Linked DNA regions of Nothobranchius furzeri. The protein of the gene in region 2 purifies or fractionates together with the protein of the main gene of each other region. This does not show direct contact. Links are inferred from orthologs where the notes say so. Each region holds a gene or a part of one and is shown on either strand. Other genes may lie near its edges. The genes, in order: ybx1, dap3 and hnrnpub.

Region 1 (10,512 bases), on a different chromosome or scaffold from region 2:
GCCCTTTTTACTTCACCATTAATGCTCAATATTTCAGGTTTTTCCAGGACCTGGAACAACGTCACAACGAGCAGCTGATGATTCGGGACATCAGCGACATTGTGCAGAACCACGCCGCGCACCACTTTGATCCCTACATCGTCTACTGCTCCAATGAGACGTTTCAACAGAGGACACTTCAGAAGCTGCTGTGAGGAGCACGCCGTACGAGCTGATGGCGTTACTCCAGGAGCACGTCTGAAGTTCTCTCCTTGTTGTGTCTTAGGAACAATAACGCTGCGTTTAAAGAGACTCTGAAGCAGATCGAGTCGAACAGCGAATGCGGAGGCCTCCCCATGCTCTCGTTCCTCATCCTGCCCATGCAGAGAGTCACCAGGCTGCCGCTGCTGCTCGATGTTAGTTTAACCTTTGACTGTAGAAACAGACTTTAGAGCTAAAAACAGTGATTTTTTAGCTGTTTGAACATAATACTAAAAATATCTGACTGTATAATTTCTAATAGCGTGCAGTAATTTAGCTACGGTATTACTCCTTTAATTGCTTTATTTTTCTATTTGCAGACAATCTGTCAGAAAACTCCAGCACAGACAGCGGAGTATTTTTCTGCTGTTTGGGCACTGAATGCCATGAGTAAGGTATAACAAGTCAGCTGAGTGGAAAACACTCCTCATCAGTACACGTGTGTTGAGGATGTTGATGTTTTGATTTGTTTTTGCTGCTGTTGTGATCTCAACAGTTGGTCACAAGCTGCAACGACGGTGCAAGGCGGATGGAGAGGACGGAGCAGATGTACACGATCCAGAAACAGATGGATTTTGGAAAAATAAAGGTGAGTATTTCTGCAGAAATGTGCTCAGAGCGGTTCGTTTAGGGTAAAACGAGCAAACTAACAGATTTAATATGAACAGTGATGAATCTGAATCAGCACAGAAAACTAACAGCTGTCTCCTCGCAGCCTTTCCCGCTGATTTCATCATCACGATGGCTGAAGAAGCGAGGAGAGCTCTCCATCTCCAGCGAGGAGCTCAGCATATGGAGAGCGTTCAGCAACAGGAGCTACTACCTGTTTCTCTTCTCTGATGTACTCATCATCACCAGGAAGAAGACGTGAGTGGATTCACCGAGCTTGTTCATATTATTCACCCGAGTTTCTGAATGAAGCTGAAAATTACAGATCCGATTCTGATTCAGAGTACTTCAAACCTAGTTGTGCTGCCTGTCTAATTTACAGCCAGCTTGAGAGTGTCTGATAGAGGCGTTATGTTGTCTTTGTGACCTGTGGACACTAAACAGACCCAGCTGGTCACAGGAACACGAGCAGAGGGTATGGGATGTGTTGCATGCATACTTGGGATTCTTCAATCTTGCATTCAGCTCGTCAGCTCGACCGACTTCTGTTTTGAGTTAGGGAGAAGCCAAACAACGTCCGCTCAGAGGACGGGTTTGTCCACAACACCGGGTTCAAAGTCAAAGCTGTGACCCGGTTTCAGGTGAAAGCATACGATAAGGGTTTAAGCAGACAGCTGAGGAATATGCTGCTTTTTAAACACGGTCACTCCTACACGCTACCCATATGGAACGTAATGTTTTTTTAAATCCAGAGAGGAGAGCTTCGTGGTGCTGGACTACGCCACTCTGGAGAACGTGGAGGTGGAGTTAGGGGAGGATGCAGAAGTACGAGGAGTGTCACCTACAAAATACAACTCCAACCAGCTTTCCTTCAGACTAAGGATGAGTAAGAACAGCGAGGGGAAGTCAGAGCAAACCTCTCTGGTGGCTGACTCCAGGTACTGCTGCACTCCCATGTTCCTAAAGTAAATGTAATGTTTCCTACTAATAACACTGCCTCTAACCTGGACAAGAACCGCCTTGTAAACATGTATCTGCAGGCTGGACTCATAAAGCCTTCCTGTAATCCACGATTCTGAGTGTTTGGCTCCCTCTGCTGGCAGAATGATAGCTCACTGTTCTCTCTTGCCAAGGGTGGACCGAGCTCGCTGGATAATTGCACTGAGAGGGAAGCAGACCAGTTTTACCTGCACAAACGGTAAGTCTGCATACTTCAGTGAGTTGCTGTAATGATGGTTGAGACTTTTTCCCTGTGAGGATAAGCTGCACAGAATTTCCTTTCGTTCTTTTAATATTTTAAATCATTTGAGTTAGATTTGTGAACCCCAGTGCAATGCATTATGGGAATCTGTTTCAGGTTCACCACAGTATGAAGCCACCAAAGCTTACATCCCCAAAGAGCCAGATGAACTGAGTTTGCGGCAGGCTGAGCTCGTCATAGTTCTGCAAAAGGAGGAGGGTGAGACTTTCTAGCTCATACTAGTCCCGATTCTTTTCTGCTTCTGTGTTTTAAACCGTTTGCTCTCCTTAGATTGGTGCTACGGGGAGAGGATGCGGGATGGTGAGAGAGGCTGGTTTCCTGCTAACTGTGCCACAGAGATCACCGACCCCACCGCCATGGAGAATAACGTACAACGTATGAAGCGCCTGCGCAAGGAAACCAATGTTTGATCAACTGTCAGGGTTTTGCTTGGACAGACTTGTAGATAAATTACACTGAACCCCAGACGTCCATAACTAGACTGAAAGATGTTTATTAGCTGAATGTTGCCATAAAATTTGATGTAGTCAGTTTATAAAACAGTTAATGGTTCAAACATCTTCATTAAACTACTCCTATATTGTGCCTGTATAAATAATAAAATCCACCAGACACATTTTCTGGTTTCTGGAGTTTTATTTGAGCTTGCATTTTGTTAAAATGTCTGAATACATAAAAAGTTATTTAAAAATGTCAAACTGACCAGATATCAAATTTCATTTTTAATCATCTTTAAAAACCATTTGGTGTAAAAACTTAGGACAGATTTAGAAAAACATTTGTTGTTTCCCCAAAACGTTTTGTAGCTGCAAGTAAAAATAATGGGAAAGAAAAACAAGTCTGCATAGATTCTGCAGGCAATCGGTGGTAATCTGGTCAAACGCGTGGTGCAAGCTTGTGACGATCTTAAAAGTCAAATCTTTATTGCTCGGATCTTGTTTGATGTTTCTTCTTGTTGACAAAAGAAAAACTGTTGAAAAGAAACATAATTTAGTCGACATGCACCATGAACATCAAATGCTTAATGAGCTTCTGCTCACCCGGACGATGGTAAAAGATGGTAGGTGCCGGTGGGCAGGTTCACTACTCAGCCCCACCCTGCTGGGCCTCGGGAGCGGACGTTTTCTCTGCAGGTGGGTCGCCTCCTGTCTTGGCCTCCTTGTTTTCCTGGCCTGGTTTGCCACCAGTCTGTTGGCGTCTGCGGCGGTAGTTGTAGTTACGGCGGTAGCGCCTCTGGCGGGGCTGTTGATTCTGACCACCTTCACCGCCCTGATTTTCTTTGTCCTCCTCGCCGTCTCGCACCGGTCTGGGACGGGGTGGACCCCTGGAGCACAGAGACCGTCATGAGAACGATTCAGAAAATCGGGGTAAAGATTGCATTAACTGCAGATGCTGGATGAAGTTTCAAAGACATGCAAATATAAATAAAATGAATGCACAGCAGCAATTTGAGGTTGGGCTGCAACAACAGAAGTTTGTAATGTGACGTTTTGTCATCACTTCAAATTTTTAAAATGAAGCTCCAGTGGACCCAGAGCTTCACCAACTACTCCAGTTTTTGCCAACCCTTCATCAATAAAGCCAACATGCAAACCTTGGTGTGAACCTTGGTCGGAAGCCTCTGTAGTAGTTCTGCCTCGCCGGTTTGTTCCCCTGGTCTGGACCTCCTTGGCCCTCATCAACCTCACCTCCCTGAAAACAAACATTTAACCATAACGGACGCTTTTTTTAGTGACACACCCACTTTAGAAACTTGAAACCATCTAAGTTTTTTGTTTTAATTCTTTTTTTTTTTTTTTCAAGATTTTGTTCACAGTTTTGTTGTTTTTCATTGACAGGAGGGGCTCACTTCCAAGACCCCCGATACACCAAGATTAGTTGATCACAACCACGTTTGTGAAGAGGAGAGTAGCTCGTCTACAACAAAGGGTTTTAATTTTGGAATGGGACAACTGGGTGACTGTTTCAGGATTTTAGCCCTGTGACAGCGTACCTCAGTCATCTCTGCGTGGTGCGTTGGGTGTATGGGGCCTGCGGCCGTAGCGACTACGTACAAAATATGGTGGGTAGCGCCGTCTGCCAGGGTACGCTGGTCTGCGCTGTGGTTGCTGCGAATCTCCATCAGGGATGTTATCTCCACCCTCTCTGCTGCCTTTGTCACGTCCTCCACTGCCAGGCTCTCCCTCGTCGCTCTGGTAGTTCTCTGGATAGTCTCCTCCACGGGGAGGCCCCCTCCTTCGTGGGTAGCGTCTGTAACGGTTCCTGTCAGCAGCGTACTTACTCCCCTGGACTGCAACTCCTCCTGGGCCAGTGACATTTGCTGCCTCTGCTCCCTGTGCACAAGAAAAAAAGGCAAAGTAAATTAATCATGATGGAACACAATGTCCTTTAAACAAACAAATCAAAGAAACTTACTTTTTCTCCCTCAACTACATCAAACTCCACAGTTTCTCCGTCCCCAACACTGCGAAGATATTTCCTTGGGTTGTTCTTTTTTATGGCCGTCTGAAATTACAAATAGTTTGAATGTCAAGTCTGCTTAACCACAAATTTCAATAAATGAATAAAAACTAAAGCAACAACTGACCTGGTGTACAAAAACATCTTCCTTTGTATCGTTCCTAGACAAAAGAACAGAATCTTAGTTAGCTGCATTCTGCTGAGCCTCTGCAAACAGACTTAAAACTAAGCCAGTGGGGATTAATTAAGTTCTGTGGGTTGCAACAGGATGGAGATGAGCAGAAAAATAATATGGTCAGCCAAGTACGCAAAGCATAACTTAATAGGATTAGCATGCTTCACTCTCACCCACACCCAGAAATGTACTTTGACACAGGGACCAACAGGTGACTCACCTATTGATGAAACCATATCCATTCCTGACGTTGAACCATTTGACTGTACCCAAGACTTTTGTTGCTGCAATCACAGTCAGAACAAGATTATTAAATACCATCGTCTGCCTGACATGCATTTAGAACAAATCCATATAGCTTAAGTGAAACTGAAACGCTTCCATCATGATGGGACACTTAACGAACTACATCAGAACTATAAAAACATTAAAAACTATGGCCACACATAACGTAGAGGTTATATTTAACCCGCAACTGTCACTCCTATTATAGACACTGATGCTTAGGAGACCCCAGGGCCAGCTGCTCCTAACATGAGCCACCAGTAAGAAAATATCCCAGTAACGATACAACAACTGTCCCAAATGACGCATCCAAAATGTCCCATAATGCATGACAAAGATGAGGATGCAAACAGCGACCAGTCTCTGCACTCGCATGTTTAGTTACTGCAGACCTGCTGCTCCATTTTAGGACGCAGAACCTGAAGGTTCACACGTGGTTGGGTCGCACCCGGATACGTTAACGAGCTGTGAGCTGTGCTCTGCTGGCTATTAGCATGGCTGTGTGGCTAAGGTTAGTACCATGTGGTTGGAGTAGAGCCAGCAAAGAGAAACAAACAAACGCGCATTACTAAACTACATTAATCCGTATTTATTGGTATATATGATAAAGATTTCGGTTTTGAATTAGTTTTTAGCGAACAAATTACAAAGCAGCGGGAAAAAACGGGAAAACACACGGCGGACATTTTGGACGGCCTCCCCTAAAGCCATGTAAATAGCCACTTAGCTGGCTAGGCTAATGTAGCTAGGTTAGCAACCGATGATCTATAGTAAAGTATTTAGGCCACACCGACAGCACGCAAATTCAACCAAAATAAGACCGCCATTGACGGATGTAGCTGGAGTCGCTAGCCAACAACGTTTCTTCTGACAATTTGGCCAAAAAAATCGGGACTGAACGCTTTGGAAAAGGAGAATATTTTAGATAAAATGCCTTGACATGGAATCAAGACTCTTTCGTGCGAACAAAGAGATGGTTAAGCAGCTAACGTTCGTAGCCACTGTAGTTATTTCACATGAACCGGTGTTATAGAGCATTTGGTAGGATTGTTCTGCAATTATTGGCGGTCCAGATGCAGTTATGCAGTTATTAAACCCTAGTCAAAACATCGTGGTTCTGGCAACGGTTGGAAGTGACAGCGAGCATCCATGTGATGACCGGCCGGATACACGCGACTCTCAAACGGATATTTGACGTGAGGAGGCCGATGAGCAATGGAGATAATCAGAATGGAATTCACGATTTAATCTGTGAATAAACCACTCAATTTTTAGAAACTAGACTAATAAAAACCGTTAGATTGAATTTTTTGGACCATTATAATAAGAATGCCCAAAGGAGTGAAGAATTTATCCGTCAACTGGCACTAACGTTTACCAACTGGAGCAAATTAATTTGACGTGGCTGAAATTCTCACGCAAGAACGGCAGCTTTTATTCAAATGCTACATCCACACCCAAGAGCGTATAAATTATAAATGATAACTCCGGCTCGGCTAGCCTAAGAATTCTTACCGATGACCTTCTTATCCCCCGCGGAAGCTGCGGGTGCCGGGCTGGATGGGCTCTCCGCATCCGCAGCAGGCTGTGGAGGTTGTTGCGTCTCGGCCTCGCTGCTCATGGTTACTACTCGTTGGTAATGGCTTCAGCCGGCGGCGGCTCTCTGATATTTTTCCCGGTGCTAGATGGTAACCTGGGCCGGCGGTGGTGGGGGCTACTGCCTTCGGGCTCTCAGCTTTCTTCTTTCCGCTCCCGTTGCCGATCGAACTGGGCAGAACAAGAGACAGTGCAGGGGAATGTTCCCAGGCGAAGACCCGCCCATCTCGTCTCCTGATTAGCTAAAATATGTAGAATTGAACAAATCTCCTTCCAATTGGCTATTGAGACTGTCAATCTTTTTTGAGCAAAGCCTTTGATGAAATTATTGGTCAAAAAGACGTACAGAAGTCTCAACGCCCCCAGTGACGTAAAAGCGAGAGAATTCTGCTTGTGACACTTCCGATAGTATTATGCATTTTGAATTATGTCATACAAAACTGTGAACCATACATGTGGTATGTTGCAAATGTGACAACTTTATGTTTAATTTATTTTGTCGTTTCTAGATAGTTGAAATAATTACTACTATTGTGATGTTTACCGTGGGAACATTCTAAGAAAAGACAAATAAACACCCCATAAATATTAGCAGGTAAAGACAAAGGTAACTGCAGAATCCACTCATATTATGTTCATGCACCACTGGCACCCTTTACAAGCACAGGCCAATGTGTGAAGCGCATGCGGTTAATCTCTCTCTCTCTCTCTCTCTCTCTCTCTCTCTCTCTCTCTCTCTCTCTCTCTCTCTCTCTCTCTCTCTCTCTCTCTCTCTCTCTCTCTCTCTCTCTCTCTCTCTCTCTCTCTCTCTCTCTCTCTCTCTCTCTCTCTCTCTCTCTCTCTCTCTCTCTCTCTCTCGGAGTTAGTGCTGCTAGATTAGACAGATTTTATGTCTCTGGTAAAAAAAAAAAACAGCTTGGGCATTTCGTGCAAGAGAGGGCCAAAGGGGCCTTGATCCGGGCTCGTTTCACCACATTACAGGACATGGATGCTCCAACATCCTTCTTTTTTAACCTGGAAAAGACTTTCAAACCAGAAAAAAACAAATGGTTGCTCTTCGTCTGTCAGATGGACAGTTATCCACAGACCCAGTGGAGATGAGGAAGTATGCAGGAGAATTCTATACCAGCCTATTTAAGGCCATGTGATGTGAACTGTGCCAGAGAGCTGTTGCAGGGGCTCCCTTCCTTGACCACAGCAGACCAAGACATCTTAAATGCAGACATAACCATGGAGGAGCTTACAACGGCAGTCTCCCAGATGGCTGCAGGAAAATCTCTGGGGATAGATGGCTTACCTGCTGACTTCTACAAATTCTACTGGAGCAGTATGGGACAGGACCTGATGGATGTTTTTAAAGACTCACTTCAGACAGGAGCACTTCCTGCATCGTGTAGGTGGGGCGTTCTGTCCCTGCTGCCGAAAAAGGGGACTTAACCCAACTAAAATACTGGAGACCAGTTTCCTTGTTATGTTCAGACAATAAGATTTTTTCTAAATTCTTATCAAACAGACTTTGGGGATTCATCGGAGGTCTAATCCCAGACGATCAGTCCTTTTGAATACCAGGAAAGTAATTAATGGACAATTTATTTTTAATGAGAGGCTACGGGCCTTTGGTTTTGGGGGGTCCTTTCTGGAATGGATTAAGATGCTGTATAGGAATGTCAGCTGTATGGTGAAGGTAGCGGAGGGCCTGAGTCAACCCATACCAGTTTTAAGAGGAATCAAGACAGGGTTGTCTCATCTCAGGACAACTGTATATTTTAGCTAATGAACAACTGCTGTGTCGGCTAAGGAACAGGCTGAAAGGTCTACACCTACCTTTACCTGTCTCTAGTCCTCCCTAAGTTGTGTCTGCTTATGCAGATGATGTGAATGTTTTTATCCATGATCAGCAGGATGCACAAGAACTCAGATCTAGTTTACTTTTACATGAGAATCCATCCTCGGCTAATGTTAACTGGGACAAGAGTGAGACATGTGTAGTGGGGGGGTGGGACCTTGGTAATGTCCCGCCTCTGCCAGAAAGGCTGAGGTGGGGAGCGGGAGGTATTAAAATACTAGGCCTGTACTTGGGTAGTGAAAGATTTCAGAAACAAAACTGGGAGAAGGTGCTGGAGAAGGTGGAGGTGTGGTTGTCTAAATGGAAATGGCTTCTCCCCCAGCTGTCCTACAGGGGCAGGGTTCTGATAGCAAACAACCTGGTCGCCTCGTTTCTGTGGCACAGACTGATTGTACTGGTTCCACCACCGGGTCTGCTGGAAGGTGTTCAGAAGCTGTTGGTGAAATTCTTCTGGTCCGGTCACCACTGGATCAGAGCTTCGGCTCTTTGCCTACCCGTGTCAGAGGGAGGACAAGGACTTGTCTAGAAGTGGTGTCTAGAACTGCAGCCTTCAGGTTACAGACGGCTCAGAAGCTTCTATATGTTGACAGACTCTGCAGGCTCCCCCTGGCTCATCTCCTGCTGTAGAAGGTTGGTGGGCTTGGGCTGAACAAACACCTGTTCCTGTTGAATCGGAAGGTGTTGGATCTGACGAGGATCAGTCCGTTCTACTCGTCAGTGCGGACACATTTAAGCTGCTGACAATTTCCCGAGTGTCTGACATGGGACCAGGGACATGGTTGCTACAAGAACCCTTGTTTGACAATGACTTCTTCTCTCGAGCTGGCATTTTAACTTTGTCTGCAATGAAAGTTAAGTTCACCGATGCTGGGACTGTAATGTTTGGTCACTTACTGAACATCTCGGCTGGAACCCTTGGTGAGCGGGTGGATGTGAGGTCCACCAGTGATGGAGAGAGTGGTGGAGGAGGTACGGAGGTCCTTGTCTGTGTTGCAGTCTTTGTTGAGACTTGTACTCTATCTGACCAATGGGATGATGACAGTGAGTACGTTTTTCCATCTTTGGAGGTTAAAGCAGCTGGTGAGGGTTGGCAGGAGGAGAGTGGATCACTGCTGAACCCGAACACTCCAGTGTTGGGCTCCTTCCAGTCTTGTGGGAAGAAACAGATCTATCACAATTGTGTGAAGGTTATCCATAGGTGCTCTTTGTTAGGAGTCGAGGTGGACTCAGGTGTTTGCTGCAGACCGTGCCCCTGGGGGCAGCTGGAGGAGTTTGTATAAGTCTCCGTGGTAAAAAGGATGGCAGACCTCCAGTGGAGGATCATACATGGAGCTTTAGCTATGAACAGACACAGGGCCCGCTTTGATCCAAGCACCGGGGAGGGATGTCCTTTTTGTAACCAAACAGAAACCCTAGAGCATCTAGTGGTAGCATGTTCTAGGTTACCAGAGATGTTCAGGGTTTTAGAATGGTGGGTTAGTGCACTGGGGGAGGCTTTTACCCTACCCTTATTTGTTTTCGGGCCCAAGTACAATGTCAGAAAAAACGGACAATATTGTAAATTAACTTTTTATTTGCATGTGCAAAACTAGCCATCTGGAAAACCAGGAAAAACCAGATGCTGGGACAGAGCTGGACTTATGCTGAGCGGAGCCTGAAGGGCCTGGTGGAAGCTCGCTTAAAGATCAAACACGCTTTTTATGAACTAACTGGGAACCTGGACTCGTTTAGAGCGGTGTGGGGGATCGGGCTGGTGCTCTGTCTGCTGGATGGACAGGGCTCCCTAAGGATCAACTTCTAAACTGGGTTTATCGAGTTTCCTGGTTTTATCAGTGGAAAACAAGTTTCAGTCATTAACGCTGATTGTTGATTTCTAAAGAAAAATAAATAATTTAAGTCAAAAAAAGTCTCTCTCTCTCTCTCTCACACACACACACACACACATACACACAGTCCCAGAATGCCTCACCATAGAGAGGACCCTTAAAAAAAGGACTACTCTCTTCCTGCCTTCACAAAAGTCTCCATTTCAAAGGATTC
Region 2 (10,497 bases):
ATACAGGCCAGGGCCTGTATTAGAGGATTTACGGTAAATCTATTTGTCGTCATTTTTATGGTACTTGAGGAGAATTTTTGGTTAACGTTTACGTTAAATGACATTTATTTTTATGGGGTGGTGTCACACTGCGTGTTTTAACGAGGACACGGTATGCTAGCACAAATATGGCTAATTAATTTAAAGCTGGTTTCTGTGGAAAGATGGTGATAACATGGATTATTACCTGCTGTAAACAGCAGATTATTTCTGTTTCATGCTGGCACTAATCCACAGCCTTAGCCTTGCTGTTAGCTTGTCAATCTTGTCACAATTAATCAGTTTCTCCAAACTGAGGCTGTTCGTGATGCTATCCATTACTTTCATTTCCACTAGGATTCATCAGGTTAAAGCAACATAAGAAGAGTTACCTTGGAAAGAAAGGGCTCGTTGGTAATTTTGAAGTTGCGTAGCCACGTCACCGCCTGTAGCGGCTGATCAAAGCGAGTGTCTTTATAAGACGACGGCAGCAGCTCCTTACAGTTCTTCACCCACAGATGCGCTGCGTGAGGCAGAGGCACAAGGGTCAGTCCCGGCCCCGGCTTTCAGCTCTCTGTGCTACATTTGTGTTCGTGTCTCACCATCGGGAACGTGCAGCACCAGCCATCCCTGTGTGTAGCAGAAGTGGACGGTGTGACAGAGGGACATGGTTTTGCCGCTACCCTTTAACCCGTCTGACCAACTCCATCAGGACACAAACTGACTCATTCAGAGCAAAGAGAAAACCCCAGTGTGTGTGTGTTTTAAAGGATACAGAATAAATATCTCTGAGCAGGTTTGCTGAAGTCCGTGCTTTTCAAGTACGAGATGACCTCCAGGGCCGGCTGCCTTACCATGACGCAGGCTTCGTTGAACGTTTTTGCCTAAACCAAATCAGGAATGTTTACATTTGATGCAGCAAATACTAAAATGCACACGTGAGTGTCATCGTTCTGCGCTTTCACATGCCTGTTGCTGAAAGCGGTAGGGGAGGCCATGAGGGAACAGAGGGCGGACGTGAGAGGGCGGCAGCGTGTAGAACTGTCCGATGTGTTTCTCTGTGTGACCGGCCTAAGAAGACACACAAACAAGAGCAAAAGTAATAAAAAATCATGTTTAACTGGCATCCTTCAAAACAAAGTTCATGTGATTCTAATACTGTATAATAAAAGCCAGATTAAAGCATTAAAGTGAAACTAACTACAAATGCAGAAAATAATTAAATCACCCTGTACATAGTTTGTTTAGCTAAATGCAAACAAAGCGTACTCCAAATAATTCAACATGTTCACGCCTTTATCCTCCATAGCATGGTGCGGTTCCAGTGATGATCATCAAAAGCACACACAGTGGCGGTTTTACCATTAGGCATAGGTCGGCGGCCGCCTGGGGCCCCCTTATGTTGAGGGGGTCCCCTAGCTCTGACCGCCAGGCCAGCACCCCTCTGTTAATGCCACAGTGGACCATTCCTTTAAAACTCGATGCACAAACAGGAAGTGATTGGTAGTCATTCCACTCCAATCCAGTTGGTGGCAGTAATGCACCAAATTGTTGTTTGCCAAGTGCCATAAGACCACAAATAAGAAGAAGAAGAGAGGCGGGAGCGTTCGTAACAAACTCAAAGCGATAGTCAAAACATGAAGCATGAAATGGAGTTATCCTAGTGGCTCCAATAAGAGAAAGAAGCAGCTCGCTTTAAAAAAGCTTTTGGCTTCACTCCCAAAAGTGACGTCGTTTTTCTATGTAAACATCAAAAGGAAGCAGAAAAGGAAAGACGATGGAAAATGTTTAAAGGGAAGAAAACACAGACCAAAATGGAAAATAGAAGAAGAAAAAATAAAGGTAAAAAGCACAGGAGCACTGACAGGAAGACGAAAGCAGAGCAAATATTGAAAGCGCTCAAAGGGAGAGAAAGACAGGAAAAATGAGGAGGACTAATAAAACGTGAAAATAACTCGTGGCAGAAGAGGAGAGAGTTTCGCAAATCCAGTTAAAGATGAGATTGTCGAAATTTTAGTGTAAGGGGCCCCATGACTGTGTTCGCCTTGGGCCCCCAAATAGCTAAATCCGCCACTGAACACATAAGCGTATCACAACGGTCAGGCAGGCACCTAGATAGGGTGGGGGATGGGGGGGATCTGTCCCCCCCAGATTCAGATCGACCCCGATCCATCCTAACCCTAACCAGATAAAACGTATAATTGCCGGCAGGTCTGGTCTTTGTTGACTGATCACTTTGTCTGGTCATGACTGACTCTGATTATGAAGCAGAATATTGACTCTGATGAAGAAATTCACTCATCCAGCCGGGAAGATTGAGCTGCTGCAGCATCAGACAGCTGGTGCTGCACGAGAGGTGTGTGGAGTTTACAAGCTCCAAACGTTGGGTTTGATGTTGGTTTAACCTTCTCTGGGACGTGGTGGATGTAGAAATGATGGTAAAACACCGCTAACATGACAGACGTAGCGACAATGTAAAAAAAAAAAAAAAAAAGCCGTAAAAAAGAGGCAGATGCCGATGCGTTCTTTATGGAAGTCAAGTGTGCCACATAATCATAAAAAAAGTCAAATATAAAATTTAAAAAGAGATTTATACATTTATATATAAATTAAAACTTTCCAAATATAATGAAAATGTATAAATAACGTAAAAATAAGAAGGAACATCTGTTGGTCAGGCTGAAAAGTTTGGGAACCACTGCTCTAAGTGATAAGTGAATATCGTTTTGTAAACATATTTTATGTGCAGTGTTTTAGGGTTTTTATGTTTTCTGTAAAGATCGGTATGCTGAAAATCATTTAATGTTTTGCATACAGCACGAGGTTTTGGTTACTAATTGATTGGGAGAATAACAAATGACTGACCGGAAAAGGGTGGCTTGCCACCTCCGGGTCGGGGGAGAGGTCCTACCTCAAGTGGAGGAGTTTAAGTATCTCGGGGTCTTGTTCACGAGTGAGGGTAGGAGGGATCGGGAGATCGACAGGCGGATTGGTTCGGCGTCTGCAGTGATGCGGACGCTGAGCCGATCTGTCGTGGGGAAGAGGGAGCTGAGCCAGAAAGCCAGGCTCTCGATTTACCGGTCGATCTACGTCCCAATCCTCACCTATGGTCATGAGCTTTGGGTAATGACCGAAAGAACGAGATCGCGGATACAAGCGGCCGAAATGAGTTTCCTCCGTAGGGTGGCCGGGCTCAGCCTTAGAGATAGGGTGAGGAGCTCGGACATTCGGGAGGGACTCGGAGTAGAACCGCTGCTCCTCCGGATCGAAAGGAGTCAGTTGAGGTGGTTTGGGCATCTGGTCAGGATGCCTCCTGGACGCCTCCCCGGGGAGGTGTTTCGGGCATGTCCTGCCGGCAGAAGGCCCCCGGGTCGACCCAGGACACGTTGGAGAGGTTACATCTCCAATCTGGTCCGGGAACGCCTTGGGGTCCTGCCAGAGGAGCTGGTGGAGGTGGCCGGGGAGAGGACGGCCTGGAGCTCCCTAGTTGGGATGCTGCCCCCGCGACCCGGACCCGGATAAGCGGAGGAAGACGAGACGAGACGAGACAAATGACTGAATTAAATAGTGGAGCGCCTCTGTCAGTGTGCCCCAGGGCAGCTGTGGCTACATCGTAGATCATCACTATCAGTGTGTGAATGTGTGTGAATGGATGAATGATACACTGTAGTGTAAAGCACTTTGGAGTAGGGCTGTCACGGTAACCGCAAAAATGAAATATCGCAATATGAAGAAGCCCACCGCGCTGCATCATGGGCCACCGCGATCACTGAACTTGATTCAACTCAATGATGCATGTTGAGAAGGATGGCTGCACTGGTATCAAAACAAAACGTTACTTCGCTCCTTTGGGAGCACTTTGGTTTTCAGTACGTCAGCTGCTGCGCAGCCAGAGTCCTTGGCCGAGACAGAGCTGCCACCAGCGGCAAAAATAAATAAATAAATAAATACACGCTCGGAGACCTGCTGAAGTCCGAGACAAGCACTGCTTCTGCAGCCGTCCCGAAGAGTTTGAGCCGAGCTGGAGCTCACTCGCTACCTGCAGGAGGAATGCATCCACCCTAAAGAACCCCCCTGACATGGTGGAGTAACAACCGGGAGAGATTCCCTTTGCTCGCCAGAGTCGCACGCAAGTACGTGTGCGTTAGTGCAACGAGCGCACCATCCGAGAGGGTTTTCAGTGTTGCTGGAAATGTTGCCCCCCCTCTCAGATCCTCTCTCAAACCGTATATGGTTAACATGCTGGTTTTCCTTGTGGGTAACAAGGACGTGCCCGAGCTATAAATCACCGTCATTCGTGTGTGTGAAAGTAAAATGACAGTGCCCCGCGCCCTGTACATGTAATTTTTTATGCTTGATTTTAAACAACTAAACAAAATGGGCACTTGCTTCTTATTTGTTAGATGCTGCAGCCAAATTAGCATTTAAAAGTTTAACCTCCTGAATTTTGTTGTTTTCAAGTTCAGTCGGACTCCGACTGTCGGAGAAACAAACGTTACTGCGATCTGTGTTGTTACTGCCCTTTGATCTGCATTCAGTAAAGTGTTATTAAAGAAGGAACGGCAATTTTTAACCTTTTTTAAATGTGTAAACATTATGTTTAGATAGTACTGCAATAAAAAAAGGGCTGCAATAATATCGCACACCGCAATATTAAGCCACCCTGAATCACCGTAGGGGGGATTCCTCAACCGCGACAGCCCTACTTTGGAGTCCTTACTCTGAGAGGTGCTATACAAGTGCGGATCATTTATCATTTATAGTGTTGATCAGGCAGAGCTTTGCTGCCAGCGTTCCACTGCATAACGGCTTCAAACACGTATATATAAGTTAGTTTTTACGTAAACCGTTGGATGAAATTCCACAAACTGACTGAGCTGTGTGTGTGTGTGTGTGTTTGAAGGAGGGTACATTGGAACTTTGTCCCCCCCAGTTTGAAAATCCTATCTGCGCCCCTGCGGTCAGGTGAACGTGTTTAGCAGGACTTCTGCCTTTGACCCGTCTAAACACATCTGTTGTCTGTGTTTCTACTAAAACATCTGTGTCGTGGCTCACCGGGTCTGTCTCCTGTGTTCTGCAGACCGAGAGGGGTTCAGGTTCGGACTGCGGAGCAGCAGCCTCCAGCTGCCAACATCCGCTGGTGTAAAGAGACCTGACCTTTGGCCTTAGCCTGAAAGTCAGTCTGTGGAGGGCCATGATCTGAAACACAACGGTTACATTTAAAAGGGTGTAAAGTCGAAGGCAGATGTAAAAAGTCTCGTTTGTCTCCACAGCAGTGTCACATCACCTTGCGTAAACACGTAGCTAACGGCTAGCTGTAGCCACACAAGCTAACCCGACCGCTGACGTCTCTGAAAGCTCCTCGGAAATCAGCAGGAAGCGGTGGTGGTTGTTTTCATTCAAACACATAAAACCGGCTCCACGCTGAATGTGGATAAAAACTAACCTCTGATTTCTGTTGGTGGTCAATGTGCCAGAACGCTCATGGACATCGCCATTATTCTTTACCGGAAGTGACGCGTCGTCTAAACTAGCCAATTGGCTCACACAAGCGCAATGACAGCCCATGAGAGAATTGTGTTGTTTGGAAAGCCGTTGCAGCATATAATCAAAACACTATAAAGGATTTTCAGGAACACCACACTAATGCGGTGTTTGACCCCCTTTCTCCTTCAGAACTGTATTAATTCTACGTGGCGTTGATTCAACACGCTGCTGAAAGCATTCTTTAGAAATGTTGGTCCACATTGAGAGGATAGCATCTTGGAGTTGATGGAGATGTGTGGGATGCACATCCAGGGCACGAAGCTCCCGTTCCACCACATCCCATAGATGCTCTACCGGGTTGAGATCTGGTGACTGTGGGGGTCGTTGTAGTACGGTGAACTCATCGTCATGTTCAAGAAACCAGTTAGAAATGAGTGGAGCTTTATGACCTGGTGCATTATCCTGCTGGAAGTAGCCATCAGAGGATGGGTACATGGTGGTCATGAAGGGATGGACATGGTCAGAAACAATGCTCAGGTAGCCCGTGCCATTTAAACCATGCCCAGTTGGCACTAAGGGGCCTAAAGTGTGCCAAGAAAGCATCCCCCACACCATGACACCACCACCACCAGCCTGCACAGTGGTAACGAGGCATGATGGATCCATGTTCTCATTCTGTTTACGCCAAATTCTGACTCGACCATCTGAATGTCTCAACAGAAATGGAGACTCATCAGACCAGGCAACATTTTTCCAGTCTTCAACCGTCCAGTTTTGGTGAGCTGGTGCAAACTGTAGCCTCTTTTTCCTGTTTGTAGTGGAGACGAGTGGTACCCGGTGGGGTCTTCTGCTGCTGTAGCCCATCCACCTCAAGGTTGTGCGTGTTGTGGCTTCACAAATGCTTTGCTGCTTTCCTCGGTTGTAACGAGTGGTTATTTCAGTCAAAGCTGCTCTTCTATCAGCTTGATTCAGTCGGCCCATTCTCCTCTGACCTCTAGCATCAACAAGACATTTTCTCCCACAGGACTGGATGTTTTTCCCTTTTCACACCATTCTTTGTAAACCCTAGAAATGGTTGTGGGTGAAAATCCCAGTAACTGAGCAGATTGTGAAATACTCAGACTGGCCTAACATTTCTAAAGAACGCTTTCAGCACCTTGTTGGATCAATGCCGCATAGAATTAAGGCAGTTACAAAGGCAGAACACCGTATTAGTGTGGTGTTCCTAATAATCCTTTAGGTGAGTGTCTCAATAACGCACTTGAACCATTTTGCTTCACAAAGTCATTGTCAGCCTGCATTTAATGGGCAAAATGACAGCCGTCAAATTGTCGGTTTTCTGGGAGTTCTAGTGTGAAGCTGTGATTGGCCAATCAGGAAGTCAAAATTGTATTTTTACTCATTATTTGTTGTTTGGGGGGATCCTTGAAAGCATCGCCATTAAGCACTAACAGACCCACCAAATGGAGTTTTTCATACCAAAATCAGCATTTACTGGCCGAGCTGTACATCTGAAAATCAACATCAGCCCTCAAAAGACAAGCCAAGTCATTCAAAAGACAGCAGCTTGCCTTTAGACAGGAAAGAAAAAAAGGAGAGTGCACACTCTCACACTCACGATGACTCAGAACCAGGAGTGGAAAGGGTTTTTGGAGCTGTTCCCTAATTAGTGGAACAAATTTCAATCTCTGCTATGTTTCTTTCTGGCTCAATGCTTAATTAAATTCATATTAAATTCAAAGATACTTTATTAATCCCAGAGGGAAATTAGAGTTTCAGTGCTCACAATTCTGAGATCAGACATACATACATAGACACATGACAAGAACTGGTGACTGTGGTCATTCGCAACACGAGTCGCGCTACCGTAATAGATCAAGAGGGTTTATATGAGGATAGAGTCAGGGGGAGGGAAAAAGGCACTTCAGAGTTACCCTCCACAGAGAGGGCAGCTTTGCTCTGCAAAAGAACACCTCAGACAGATATGCACACAGACTTCAGGCGTTACACAACATAAGTGTCCACTAGGTGGGGAGGTAGGGTTGGGTCTCTCCTCACTTCAGTGCGTGCAGCCGCATGGGGCAGCGCTCATCACCTCCGTTTGGACAGGGGAGAGAGATAATGGGTTAGAGAGCACGGTTCCACGGCCTTCACCGGTCACAGTCGCGCCCAGGCTGGGATAGGGAGAAAGAGTTTCCATAGCTACGACAACATTCCACATTTCTTCGCTCCAGGGCACCAGATTCAGATAATAATTGTTTTGGGGACAGACAGATAATTTCCTCTCTGCCATAGTGTTCTGTTGGTCATCAACCCCTCTAGATCCAATAATGGCTTAATCAATCTATCCCAATCCCTGCTGATCCATCCACTCGCTCCTTGATGGAATCCACCTTCTGGGTCAGAGCCTGAATCTCAGCCAAAGTTCCAAGCTTACAACTCATCTCAACAATTATATGAGTTTGTGTGTTCACAGCGCGATGCATTCCATCCCTGAGCTCCGGGATTGAGCCAATATTCCTCAAAAGCTCGTAAATTTTCCGGTAAGCCGGGTAACCGCTCAGGCCAAACAGCAGGAATCCCGACACCAAAACAACGAATATCCAAACATCTTCAGAATCCTCTACAGACAGTTGAGAGAGAAAGATCAGGTTCCACTGTTTCCAGGAGTCCATGATATGCCCAGCTGGCTCTGTCCCAGAGGGGCATCCGGGAGCCCCTTCTCCCGTTCTCATCGTTGAAAAATGTTGTCAATCGCGTTGAGAGACCAACTGACCAGGTCCATTTTTAATAAGTTCCAGTTTCCAGAAAAATGCAGAAAGCGCCGTGCACCGACAGGACAAAGAGCCTTGGGATAAGGAGAGAGGGAGAGGAGAAAAAAGCATCTGTACTCTCCAAGGGCCGGAAGAAGAATCAATGCATGAACGAATAAACTGAAAACCCAGATTCAAAAAATATTTGTAGGCTAATATTAACCACACAATTGTATTATTTGCTGTTATAATTTATTGATAAATTATTATAAAGTTAGAACTCACCACCTGCAGTAATGAGGTTCTCCACCATAGCAAAAGATTTAGCTCGGCGGGTCAGTCTAGCCACACTCCACTGTAGCCTCAGCAAGTCCATCTCTGTCCAAAGATGGCGTTGGATCAGAAACTGCATTCATTTCAAATGTTTTTGGCATCAGCTTTGGACTTTTTAGACTTGAGCTTTTTTTTTGAGACATGAAACATGACATCTGCTACATTATTGACAAACTGCCCAGCTCAATGATAATGAAGTTGTGCTTTGCTCTGATTGGTTCTAGAATTGTCCAATTGCATGTGGAGACAGTTTGAAAGGCAGCCATGGAGTTCGCCCAATGACTGCGTTGGGTGGTGGCCAGACTACGGCTTGCTAGGCTAGAGGAACGTACAAATCCTGTTAAAAAGGCAGTGACCCTAAAGTGTAGGATTGTTTATCACTAGTTAGATCACAAAAGAAAGAAAGAAAGAAAGAAAGAAAGAAAGAAAGAAAGAAAGAAAGAAAGAAAGAAAGAAAGAAAGAAAGAAAGAAAGAAAGAAAGAAAGAAAGAAAGAAAGAAAGAAAGAAAGAAAGAAAGAAAGAAAGAAAGAAAGAAAGAAAGAAAGAAAGAAAGAAAGAAAGAAAGAAAGAAAGAAATAATCTTTTATTTAGCGCCTCTCAAGATACAAATCATGAGGCGCTTCACAAAAAAACAATTAAAGTGTAAAAAAGATGAATAAAAATGAACATATTATATGTTTAAAATGAGAACAATATTAAATTGTGATAAAAAAATAATGTAAGGAAAGGGAGAGAGAAAAGGAATGGGAAAGAGGGAAATCAGTGGATCGCAGGGAAAGGCGGAATAAGTAGAAAGAGCAGAATAAGGAGAGGGTGGTGATGAAGGTCACTCAAAAGCCTGAACAGGTGAGTCTTCAGCTGCTTTTTAAAGGAGACCACTGAGTCCACTGATCTCAGGCTCAGGGAGGAGGGTATCGCTGCAGACCTGCAGATTCAGGCTTGTACTGTTTATGAGACAGCGCCGCCCACTGTTTGCTAGCACTCCAAGATGGAGTGTGATCAGAGTCGGCAGAACGTGGAGAACAGTATTTGTTTAATCCGTAAGAAGGAAGAAAACCAAAAACATAATGGACCGTCAAAAGGACCAATAATAATGCAGCTGGATTTTAAATAAAGTTTTACTTGAATAAAATGTATTCAGTTCATCACTGCAAAGTCCCACAGCGTTCTGCATTAAATTAATGAGCCATGTGTGTTTTGGTCCATCAAGGTGTTACGAGGTGGTTGATCTAAGGATGTCAAGAACCAGGAAAATAGGAAAAAGGGTTTTTTTTTATTTTTGTTTTGTTTCTACAAGCAACGTCAGTTAAATAAATATGATAAAAGCTTTTCTTATTAAAAGTGACTCAGGAGTTTTCACATTTGTATTTTGAGAGCTACATCACTGAAGCTTTAACAACGACTAAACTATTTTTAATAAGCTTCCCCCACAGTTACACATTTTATTTGTAACTATTAAACAGTAGAAGCTTGAATCAGCAGTCGGCCTGAATCTGCGTTCTCCGGGTCTGCAGCGATGTACTGTTGGGCTCAGGGGGAGAGAGCTCCAGAGTCTGGGGGCCACAGCAGCAGATTCAATTCAATTCAAGTTTATTTATAAAGCGCCAAATCACGACAAGAGTCGTCTCAAGGCACTTCACATAATAAACATTCCAATTCAGGTCAGTTCATTAAGCCAATCAGAAATAATGTTTCCTATATAAGGAACCCAGCAAACTGCATCGAGTCACTGACTAGTGTCAGTGACTACAGCAATCCTCATACTAAGCAAGCATGTAGCGACTGTGGAGAGGAAAACTCCCTTTCAACAGGAAGAAACCTCCAGAGAATCCTGGCTCAGTATAAGCAGCCACACACACACACACACACACACACACACACACACACGCACGCACGCACGCACGC
Region 3 (8,824 bases), on a different chromosome or scaffold from region 2:
AGACACGAATGCTGATCAGAAGAATAAGAAGGGTGTTAAGAGACGCCGGGAGGAACATGGAAGGGGCTACTTTGAATTTATTGAAGAGAACAAATACAGCTGGTAAGGATGGGACAGAGCCGAGGTGGCCTTCAGCATCCCTGAAGCGCCATCCAAGCTTTGTTGAACTGTATTGGCTTTAAGTGCCAATGCACATAACTAGCAAGAGGTAAAGCCTCGTTTGAAGTATTCTATCATATATTTATGATATAACCTTTCACACATGTGTTTGAGGGTCATCCCTGAATAGCTAAAGCCTTACCATTTACCTTTTTACACTCACATTGTGTCTTTAACGACTGCATTCTGTAGCAGAAGTGCATCTATCAATCTCATATCTGTTCCTCATGCCACCTATTGTTCTGGAAAGCCCGTTGTATCCTCAAGGAGACTCCAGGCTGCTTTAGGAGAACCCAGCGACATTAGTAGAAGGGGGAGGGGTCGATGTGGGGGAGTATCCCAGAGGCGTGGGTTTGCGGGGACCACCGCTGAGCTAGCAGTGGAGGCGCTCACCGATCGCCCGTTGTTTCCGCCTCGCAGGTCTATCGATGTTTGTCATTTGTTGTGCATTTATCTCACTGGATGACTGATGTCCAGATGCTGTTTCTGTATCGTGTGTGTGTGTGTGTGCGTGCACTTTTGCAGGACTGTTTCTACCCCTGCATAGGTGACATCATGCATGGCCTGTGTGAGTGTGTGTGTGTACATGAAACTATTACCGGTCAGTGTTTTGTTTTCATTGCGCTGCTGGCACACCGAGGATGAACGGGCAGAAGCTGAACGTAGATCTGGAGGTTTTATTTGAACAAGGATTAAATCACCTCTACGGTGCCGAGAGTCTTCGTTCACCTGGTATGAACGGGATCCAGACTCGGCTGCTACACAGCGTGAGGACACCAGGGAAGGTTTCAGACACAGACTGGTGTTTCATAGATTCATGATGTCCAGTTTTAATTCTTAGTCTTGATTTAAAACACAACATGATCCAGCGGTCCCACACATCACATAGCAGCCCTGAGCTCACACTCACCTGGACGATATTCACATCTGATCAACATCACGGGGCGATGGCGACGGTCTGTATCTTTCCCGTTTTAGATTTCTGCGGATGCTGTTGGGTAAGTCGGTTCCTGCCAGGGTTTGTGAGGCTCAGTCATGTTCTGTTTCCCTTTCTTAAAGCCCGTCCACTTCTCTCCTGTGATGTTTTTCAGCAAATGGTCCCAAAGAACATCAATGTGCTCCACTGTCACCCCCGCGTGAATCCTCTAATTTACTCGCTGCCGTCTTCTTTCAGTGCTTCGTTTAAGTCTCCGGTACCGCCCTTGGAGGAAGAGGACGAGGAGCTTGATGAGACCAAAGTCTGCCTGGACAGCTGTAAGAGTTGATGTTGGTGACCTGCAGGGACACGTTGATGCCGGTGTTGTTTACGGGAAGTTTGTGTTCTGCAGACAACTGCGACCTGCACTTCAAGGTGTCGCGGGACCGTTACAGCGCTTCGTCCCTCACGATGGAGAGCTTCGCGTACCTCTGGTCTGGAGGCAAGGCCACTCACGGTGTAAACCAAGGCAAGGCTTGCTTTGAGATGAAGGTAAGTCCTCTGCTGCTGCTTCCTGCAGCGCTGGTGTTTTAAACCCCGACTGGTGGTGTTGCTAGAGTCGTGTGTGGTGTGATTGCAGGTTACAGAGAAGATTCCAGTGAAGCACATATCCAGCAAGAACCTGGAGATTCACGATGTCCAGGTCGGATGGTCTCTGGCTACCGGCTCGCTGCTCCTAGGTCGGTGAAGCAGCTTGTGAAGCTACACGAGGGTTTAGCTTCTCACACCTGGCACCACATCTTCCATAAGCAGCAGCAGAACCTGTTTAAGCCGGTTTAACGACCAGCGGCGATAGGCCGAGCTGTCTTTATGCCTGTCCAGTCCGTATGTTAAACCCACTGTAGGGTTTCATTATGGCGCTGTGTGTGACATTCATCAGGGTCAAAGGTCACATTTTTACCAAACACACAGCTGCTGAACTGGATTTCGTGTCTTTTATTGTTGTTTTATCTTGTTTTTCTCTTAAATATAAATAACATCAGATTTAGCCTGGGAAGTCTCTACCCCATGTGTTTATTTAGTCATGACGTCAGGCAGCTGCGGTCATGCGTGACCGACTCAACAGCTCCCTCTAGTGGGCTGTAAGCAACATAGCATGTTGGTGTGAATGCCAGCGGAGGTGAGTTGTGGCTGCTGATGGTAATCTGTTGGTGTTCAGGTGAGGAGGAGTTTTCCTTCGGCTACTCCTGGAAAGGCAAGAAGACGACCAACTGTGTGACCGAGGACTTCGGAGAGCCGTACGAGGAGAACGACGTCATCTGCTGCCTCATCGTAAGTCCAGATTCCTTTTTTAAAACTTCCAGACACACATTAGACCCGTACCATGGTGTACGGTAGGAAAGGGCGTGACCCCTCCTGTGATTGGCTGGACGAGCCAGTGCAGGCACAGAGATAGGTGAGTAGGCTGAGCTAGACTAGAAAAAAGTGGACGTAGTGCAAAAGAAGAGCAGCAGTGTCCTGGCATGGAACCAGCAACCTCCCAGAGGCCTGGTCCAGAGCTGCAGGAGTGGGTGCTTTACCTCTGAGCCCCTGTAGGGGGCGTAGGAAGATTGTTCTAGGGTTAGAACATTCACCACATCTTTCTAAACCAAAATGTCGCCTTTCCTCCTCGATTCAGGACTTTGAGGGTGAGGAGGTGGTGCTGTCCTTCTCCAAGAATGGTGGAGAGCCAGCTGTGGCCTTCCAGGTCCAGAAAGACTCTCTAAACGGCCAGGCCCTTTTTCCTCACGTCATCTGTCGCAACTGTGCTGTGGAGTTCAACTTTGGCCAGATGGAGACCCCGTACTTCCCTCAGCCTGAGGGCTACACCTTCATGCAGCAGATCCCCGTCGATGAGCGTGTGAGGGGTGTGAAGGGGCCTCAGACCAAGGCCGACTGCGAGGTGTGTGTGACGGACCTCTGCGGTGTGTGAATAACGGTGCGACTGACTAGAACCTGAGCAAACTGCCTGCTTTTGCAGATCATCGTGATGGTTGGTCTGCCAGGCTCAGGCAAGACCACATGGGTGAAGAACCAGGTCCAACAGAACCCTGGGAAGTACTACATCCTGGGAAGTGACACGATTGTGGACAAAATGATGGTATGTGTGTGTGTGTGTGTGTGTGTGTGTGTGTGTGTGTGTGTGTGTGTGTGTGTGTGTGTGTGTGTGTGTGTGTGTGGCAGCTAGCTGGTTGGGTAGAAGTGGCTCTGTCCTTCCACTCATCTGTGTGTGTGTGTGTGTGTGTGTGTGTGTGTGTGTGTGTGTGTGTGTGTGTGTGTGGTTTAAACCAGATCAACAGCCTGAAGCGCCAGTCCAAGGACATCACCAAGCTCAGCACCATTTCCCAGAGAGCGCCTCTCTTCCTGGGGAAGTTCATCGAGATCGCCGCCCGCAAGAAGAGGAACTACATACTAGACCATGTAAGTGGGCGGTCGTGACGACGCTGTTTTCAGGGTTGGCGCGTGTGTGTAACTCCTGACTGCTTCCTTCCAGACCAACCTGTCTGCACCCGGCCAGAAGAGGAAGATGTGTCTGTTTGCCGGCTTCAAGCGTAAAGCTGTGGTGGTCTGTCCGTCTGACGAGGAGTACAAGCAGAGAGTCCAGAAGAAGGTGGAGAGTGACGGCAAAGATGTGCCGGAGCACGCTTTGCTCAAGATGAAAGGTCCGCGTTATTTCACCCACAAGTCTTTTCTTTAGTCTGGTGTCTGACTCTGTCCTGGTTTCCTCCCTGCGCCCCTAACCCGCACCAGGCTTCTTCGCTCTGCCGGAGGAGGGCGACAGCTTCAGCGAGGTCGTCTACGCTGAGCTGCCCAAGGCGGACGCCGCCAAGCTGCTGGACCAGTACAAAGAGGAGAGCAAGTCGGCCCTGCCCGCCGAGAAGAAGCCCAACCAGGGGAGCACGGCGCCAAAAAGGGGCGGTGGCCCGCGTGGTGGCGGCCGGGGAGGCAAGAACCAGTTTGGCCGTGGTGGTGGACCTGGACAGAGGGGGGGGGGTCGTGGAGGCTTCCAGAACAGAGGCAACTTCAGAGGAGGTAGGTCTTCAGGGGAGTGGTGCATGCTGGGAGTTTAGTGGAACAGCTAACTGTATCGACGTGTCCACAGCTCCTGGCCCCCGTGGTGGCTTCAGCCGTCCTCCTCGTGGCTTCCTGCCTCCGCCGGCCTTTCGGGGGGGGTTCCCCAACCGCGGCAGCTTCAGCCGTGGCGGCGCCCCCATTCCCAGTCTGGGAGGCTCTCCAAGAGGCGGTCCAATGAGGGGTAACATGGGACACAGGGGCGGACCCATGAACCGTGGGGGTCAGATGAACCGTGGGGGTCAGATGAACAGAGGAGGCGGAGGCAACATGAGTCGGAATCCAAACCGGGGTCATCCCAGCCAGGTGGGCGTGGTTCTCCGGGTCTGCTGCGTGGCTGCAAGCGTAAATATCTCAAGTCATGTGTGGCTGTGTTCTCCACAGTTCCAGCCCAGAGGTGGTAACCGTGGCAACTTTGGCAACAAGAACAGCTTTGGGAACAGCAGGAACAGTGGGAACTTTGGCAACAGGAACGGCATGGACAAGGCCCAGGCCTTTAACCAGAGCTGGCAGCAAGGGGTCAGTGTCCTCCTGCACCTCATTAATGATTCATGAGCAGAAAGTAATCCGTCCTGTTTGTCTGTGATCTTTTCCAGTTCTGGAACCAGAAACGCTGGAGCCAGCAGTACCAGCCCGGGTACTACTGAGACTCGTTCTAAGGGACTGGTGGTCGACACTGAGAACCCACCGTAGCCACGGAAACCACCCCGCCCCACCCCCTTTAGTCTGTTTTCTTTAGAGTCCCCTTTTAACCTCCTGAAGCCCACGGAGACCGGAGCGAAGCGGAGCTCCATCCTTCCATCAGGGAGCAGCACGAGGGTCGGGTTCAGCGTCTTTATGGTTTTCTTTAGGTTTGCTCGTCCCTCCTCCACGTTTAACCCCCTGCTCTCAGAGAAAACCTCTACCCGCAGGAGCAGAAACCCTCCCCGTGGCGTGTTTTCGTTTTCAGGGTTGTGCATTTTATCTGTGTTGTGATTTTTGCTTTTTTATTATTACAAATTGTAAATATTGTTTTTTATTAGTTCTGTCGGACGTTTGAGACGTGTGTTCTGATCAAGACAAATGTGGGTTCCTTCGCAGAACCCAGGATAAATTATAGCTGTTAATCTGACGCGTTACAGGAAGCAGGTCATTTACAGTTGGTTGTTTTACTTCCTTCATTCAAATCTGTAATAAACGTCATAGACCTACAATAAACTCTCCTTTGCTTTTCTACTTTCTGACGTGTGAGTTGTAGTTTAGCTCTAAGGCTTGTGGACGGGCGCCTCGTTGGCGTGTTTCTGCTTATGAGAAGGTTTTCCTCCATCCTCCCCGTCACACTGGAGCTCTGGTTCTACACGCTTCAGGAGACGCAGGGTTTGGGTTTGCTGCTTCCTGTAGCGCTGTAGACTTCTGAGTGTGACCCGAGCTGACCCGACGACGCTTCAGCTCCGACACTTCCTCACCAGCGAACTGCACAGCGTCCCCACGGCTTTCCAGCAGCTTCTGGACCTTTCTAGCTGCGTTGTCTCGGTGACTGTGTGGCTTTGGGGCAACGGCCGCTCCCCATGGCAGCAGAAACATCCTGCTTTACCTCCTGCTGGGCTTTAGACGCCTGTAAATACCCCACTGGTTATTCATGCATGTGTTCTGTGACGTGAAGAGAAGCTGGAGTCCATGTCCGTCCGTTTCTCTGCCGTGTGTAAACCCTTAAGGCCGACAGCTGGTGGTGTATTTTTATGACGGTGTTACAGGTTTACAACAATCAGGTCTCAATAAATAACTCCAACATTTTAAGACCTTTTGAGATTTTTTACTCTTATTTTGGCGTGAACAGCATCACTGCCGCGGTGTCTCGGTTTACAGTAGATGTTTATTATAAAGGAAATGACATCACTATTGGTAAACCAATACAGAACAGCAGAGGCATTCACCCCCTTGCTAACAGAACATTAAACCCAACACATCAGAGCACTTCTGTGTTTGTAGTAAAATTCTGTATGAACCATGATTCCATAGATTTTAATTATGCTGCCAGTGGCCCAAGTAAATCTGTTGAATCCTCCAAGCCAACCAGTTGTAGATGTAGATCAATCTAATGAAAATGTTTGATCTTCATTCGATTTACTTCAAAAGGAAAGCAAAGTTCTCCTCTGGAGCTGGTCTGCTGGCTCTCCACCAGTGAACCTGGCTGGTTTATGCTTGACGCGTCCGCGCGACTCCGCGCGGAAAAGTTGCGTCATTTTAGCAACCACGCCCCTCCACCGCGTCTCCGCACGGCCCAGAATTTCCGCATCGCGCACCTCGGAAAATTTCTAACCACGCGGACGGACGGACGCGGAAAAACATGGCGGACCAGCAAGAACTAGTACGGCAGAGGTTGGTAAATACAGGCATTTGTATGATTCAGCTCTCAGAGATCACCGTGATCAACATGTTGTTAATAATTCTTGGAGAGAAATAGCTCGCACTGTCGGAAAAGACGAGGACGCTGTTAAAAATGCTGGAATGCCATGTTGTAAACAGTCATTTCTACTTCTACTATGGTGTAGTGTTGGATGCATGCTGTAGAGCTCCATGCTGCCCCCTACAGTTTGGGAGAAGATAAGATAAAACTATTAATCCCTCGGGTGAGTTCCTTCAGGAAATTCAGTTTCCAAAAAAAGCAGCGCAACACCGACAGAGGTTACAGAACGTCAGAAAATATTAAATAATAATAAAAATAGAAATAAATATAAAAATACAATTGAATCGCACCTTCCGGATATCAACGTCCTTAGCACCGTGGAGCATTAAACCAATTTAACTGTACTTGCATTGAGGTATTGCACAGTGAAGCGAAGAGTCACTACAGCTTCGGTGTCCCCCCCTCCTTTGTCCTCCTGTTTCTCCTCCCTCTCCCCTCCAGAGAGGAGTTATACAGTCTGATGGCGTGTGGGACGAAGGAGTTTTTAAGTCTGTTAGTTCTCATCTTGGGGAGAAGCAGCCTTTCACTGAACAGACTCTGCTGTTTGTTTGTGGCCGTGTGCAGAGGATGCCCAGCATTGTCCATGATGTCAAGCAGTTTTTTTAATGTCCTTTCCTCTGCCACTGACACCAACGTGTCCAGTTTCATGCCGGCCACAGAGCCTGCCTTCCTGATCAGCTTCTCCAGCCTAGATGTGTCCTTCTTCGCTGTGCCACTCCCCCAGCACACCACAGCAAAAAGAAGTACTCCGGCAACCACTGACTCGTAAAACATCCTCAGGAGCTTCCTGCAGATGTTAAAAGACCTCAGCCTCCTGAGGAAGTACAGTCGACCTTGGGCTTTCTTATACAGGTGGCCTGTGTTGCATGACCAGTCCAGTTTATTGTCCACCCACAGCCCAAGGTACTTGTACTTATTGACTACCTCCACCTCCTACCTCCAGAATATTGGCTCACCGCAGAGACGAGCCGCATGAACCATAAACACTGCAAGTTGTGAAGCGTGTTCCAGCCGCGAGCTGCATCACCACGCGGAAAGTGAATGCGTCAAGCATAAACCAATATGGTCAGCTCAGACTGGGAGACCATCTAAAGGCTCAGGAACCCTCTGCAGGTGTTCTGGATCCATTAACTGATTATAGTGGGACACTTATATTGAACCTTTTCATAATATAATTGCCTAAGATTCTGAATGTGTTTTTTTTCTTTATTTGTTTCATTTATAGTAGAAAATAGAAAAAAATCAATACTAACAATAAAATGAGGTTTCTCAAAACAAGAAAATGAAAAGGGAACAGAAAGAAGAAAACGTATTTTCTGCCCCTTTTTAACTAAAATTACATTTTAACACTGAAATAACAATAATTATAAATGAGCCTATACAAAGTAATGGCTCGACTGGTTAGCTAACTTGAGTTCAATTTTTAAAGAAAAACGAAAAACTTAATAGCAATAATAATTCAAAAAGCAACAGGATTTTTGCACATATACCTATTCATACATATATACATTAAAGTGCATCGCATGCCCATATGGTCACACATACTTCATCTCTACATATACATATAGATGTACACACGTATCCACTACATACGCAAGCATACATACATATGTATACATACACACATGAACATACCTACTCACATCTTCTATAGCTTTATTTATTTGTATATAATTGATTTGCACATGTATGATTCCAGTATTTCATTTTTAATTAGTTTTTGAAAGTAAATATCGTTTTTGCATCCTTGATTACATTACCTTGCTTATTCCATACTTTAACTCCATATGTAGAGACACAGCGCTCCTTTATAATTATTCTATGCTTAGGTATTGTAAATAATTCATGTCCTTTTAGTTCATATTTACTCTGTCTTTTTATAAATCTTCTAAGTAAATTTGTAGGAAGGTTTTTTTTGTTTGCATTATATAGAAATATTGTAGTCCACTAGGTCATAGAATTCTACTGTTTTTGTTTTTATGAATAACGGGTTGGATGGATCTCTGTAATTAATCCTTGTAATGATTCTTATAGCTTTTTTGCAATATATAGATAGAATTAGTATAACTTTTGTATGTAGTGTCCCAGATTTCTATTCAATAGTTCAAATATGGTGCAATAAGTGAATTATATAATAAATATAGGGAGCTATCATCCAGTGACCATTTTACTCTACGTAACATTGCAATTGT

Evidence for each region.
Region 1: the proteins of dap3 (region 2) and ybx1 purify together in Homo sapiens (co-immunoprecipitation; 3 studies listed by BioGRID and IntAct, with this or other methods). This does not show direct contact. The link is inferred for Nothobranchius furzeri from reciprocal best matches to the Homo sapiens genes DAP3 and YBX1.
Region 3: the proteins of dap3 (region 2) and hnrnpub purify together in Homo sapiens (affinity purification with mass spectrometry; 3 studies listed by BioGRID and IntAct, with this or other methods). This does not show direct contact. The link is inferred for Nothobranchius furzeri from reciprocal best matches to the Homo sapiens genes DAP3 and HNRNPU.

What each region holds. Positions count from the first base shown.
Region 1 is NC_091755.1:32,511,590-32,522,101, forward strand, and holds ybx1 (Y-box-binding protein 1), read right to left. Parts: upstream 6,829-10,512; 5' UTR 6,652-6,828; coding exon 6,546-6,651; intron 5,030-6,545; coding exon 4,966-5,029; intron 4,732-4,965; coding exon 4,698-4,731; intron 4,616-4,697; coding exon 4,526-4,615; intron 4,444-4,525; coding exon 4,165-4,443; intron 3,803-4,164; coding exon 3,705-3,802; exon of another isoform or gene 3,435-3,704; coding exon 3,194-3,434; 3' UTR 3,151-3,193; exon of another isoform or gene 3,081-3,150; 3' UTR 2,727-3,080; downstream 1-2,726. Other genes in the region: arhgef16 (rho guanine nucleotide exchange factor 16), read left to right, coding at 38-190, 266-395, 561-635, 737-829, 956-1,107, 1,602-1,787, 1,983-2,047, 2,207-2,308 and 1 more. UniProt on the Homo sapiens protein: DNA- and RNA-binding protein involved in various processes, such as translational repression, RNA stabilization, mRNA splicing, DNA repair and transcription regulation.
Region 2 is NC_091745.1:77,850,819-77,861,315, forward strand, and holds the start of dap3 (small ribosomal subunit protein mS29), read right to left. Parts: upstream 5,551-10,497; 5' UTR 5,465-5,550; exon of another isoform or gene 5,306-5,464; intron 5,218-5,305; 5' UTR 5,215-5,217; coding exon 5,074-5,214; intron 1,090-5,073; coding exon 988-1,089; intron 903-987; coding exon 794-902; intron 714-793; coding exon 621-713; intron 542-620; coding exon 411-541; intron 1-410. UniProt on the Homo sapiens protein: As a component of the mitochondrial small ribosomal subunit, it plays a role in the translation of mitochondrial mRNAs. Involved in mediating interferon-gamma-induced cell death. Displays GTPase activity in vitro.
Region 3 is NC_091742.1:29,990,311-29,999,134, reverse strand, and holds the end of hnrnpub (heterogeneous nuclear ribonucleoprotein Ub), read left to right. Parts: coding exon 1-102; intron 103-1,333; coding exon 1,334-1,413; intron 1,414-1,487; coding exon 1,488-1,627; intron 1,628-1,715; coding exon 1,716-1,815; intron 1,816-2,294; coding exon 2,295-2,407; intron 2,408-2,753; coding exon 2,754-3,017; intron 3,018-3,095; coding exon 3,096-3,215; intron 3,216-3,406; coding exon 3,407-3,535; intron 3,536-3,608; coding exon 3,609-3,777; intron 3,778-3,865; coding exon 3,866-4,147; intron 4,148-4,217; coding exon 4,218-4,492; intron 4,493-4,570; coding exon 4,571-4,705; intron 4,706-4,782; coding exon 4,783-4,833; 3' UTR 4,834-5,063; downstream 5,064-8,824. UniProt on the Homo sapiens protein: DNA- and RNA-binding protein involved in several cellular processes such as nuclear chromatin organization, telomere-length regulation, transcription, mRNA alternative splicing and stability, Xist-mediated transcriptional silencing and mitotic cell progression.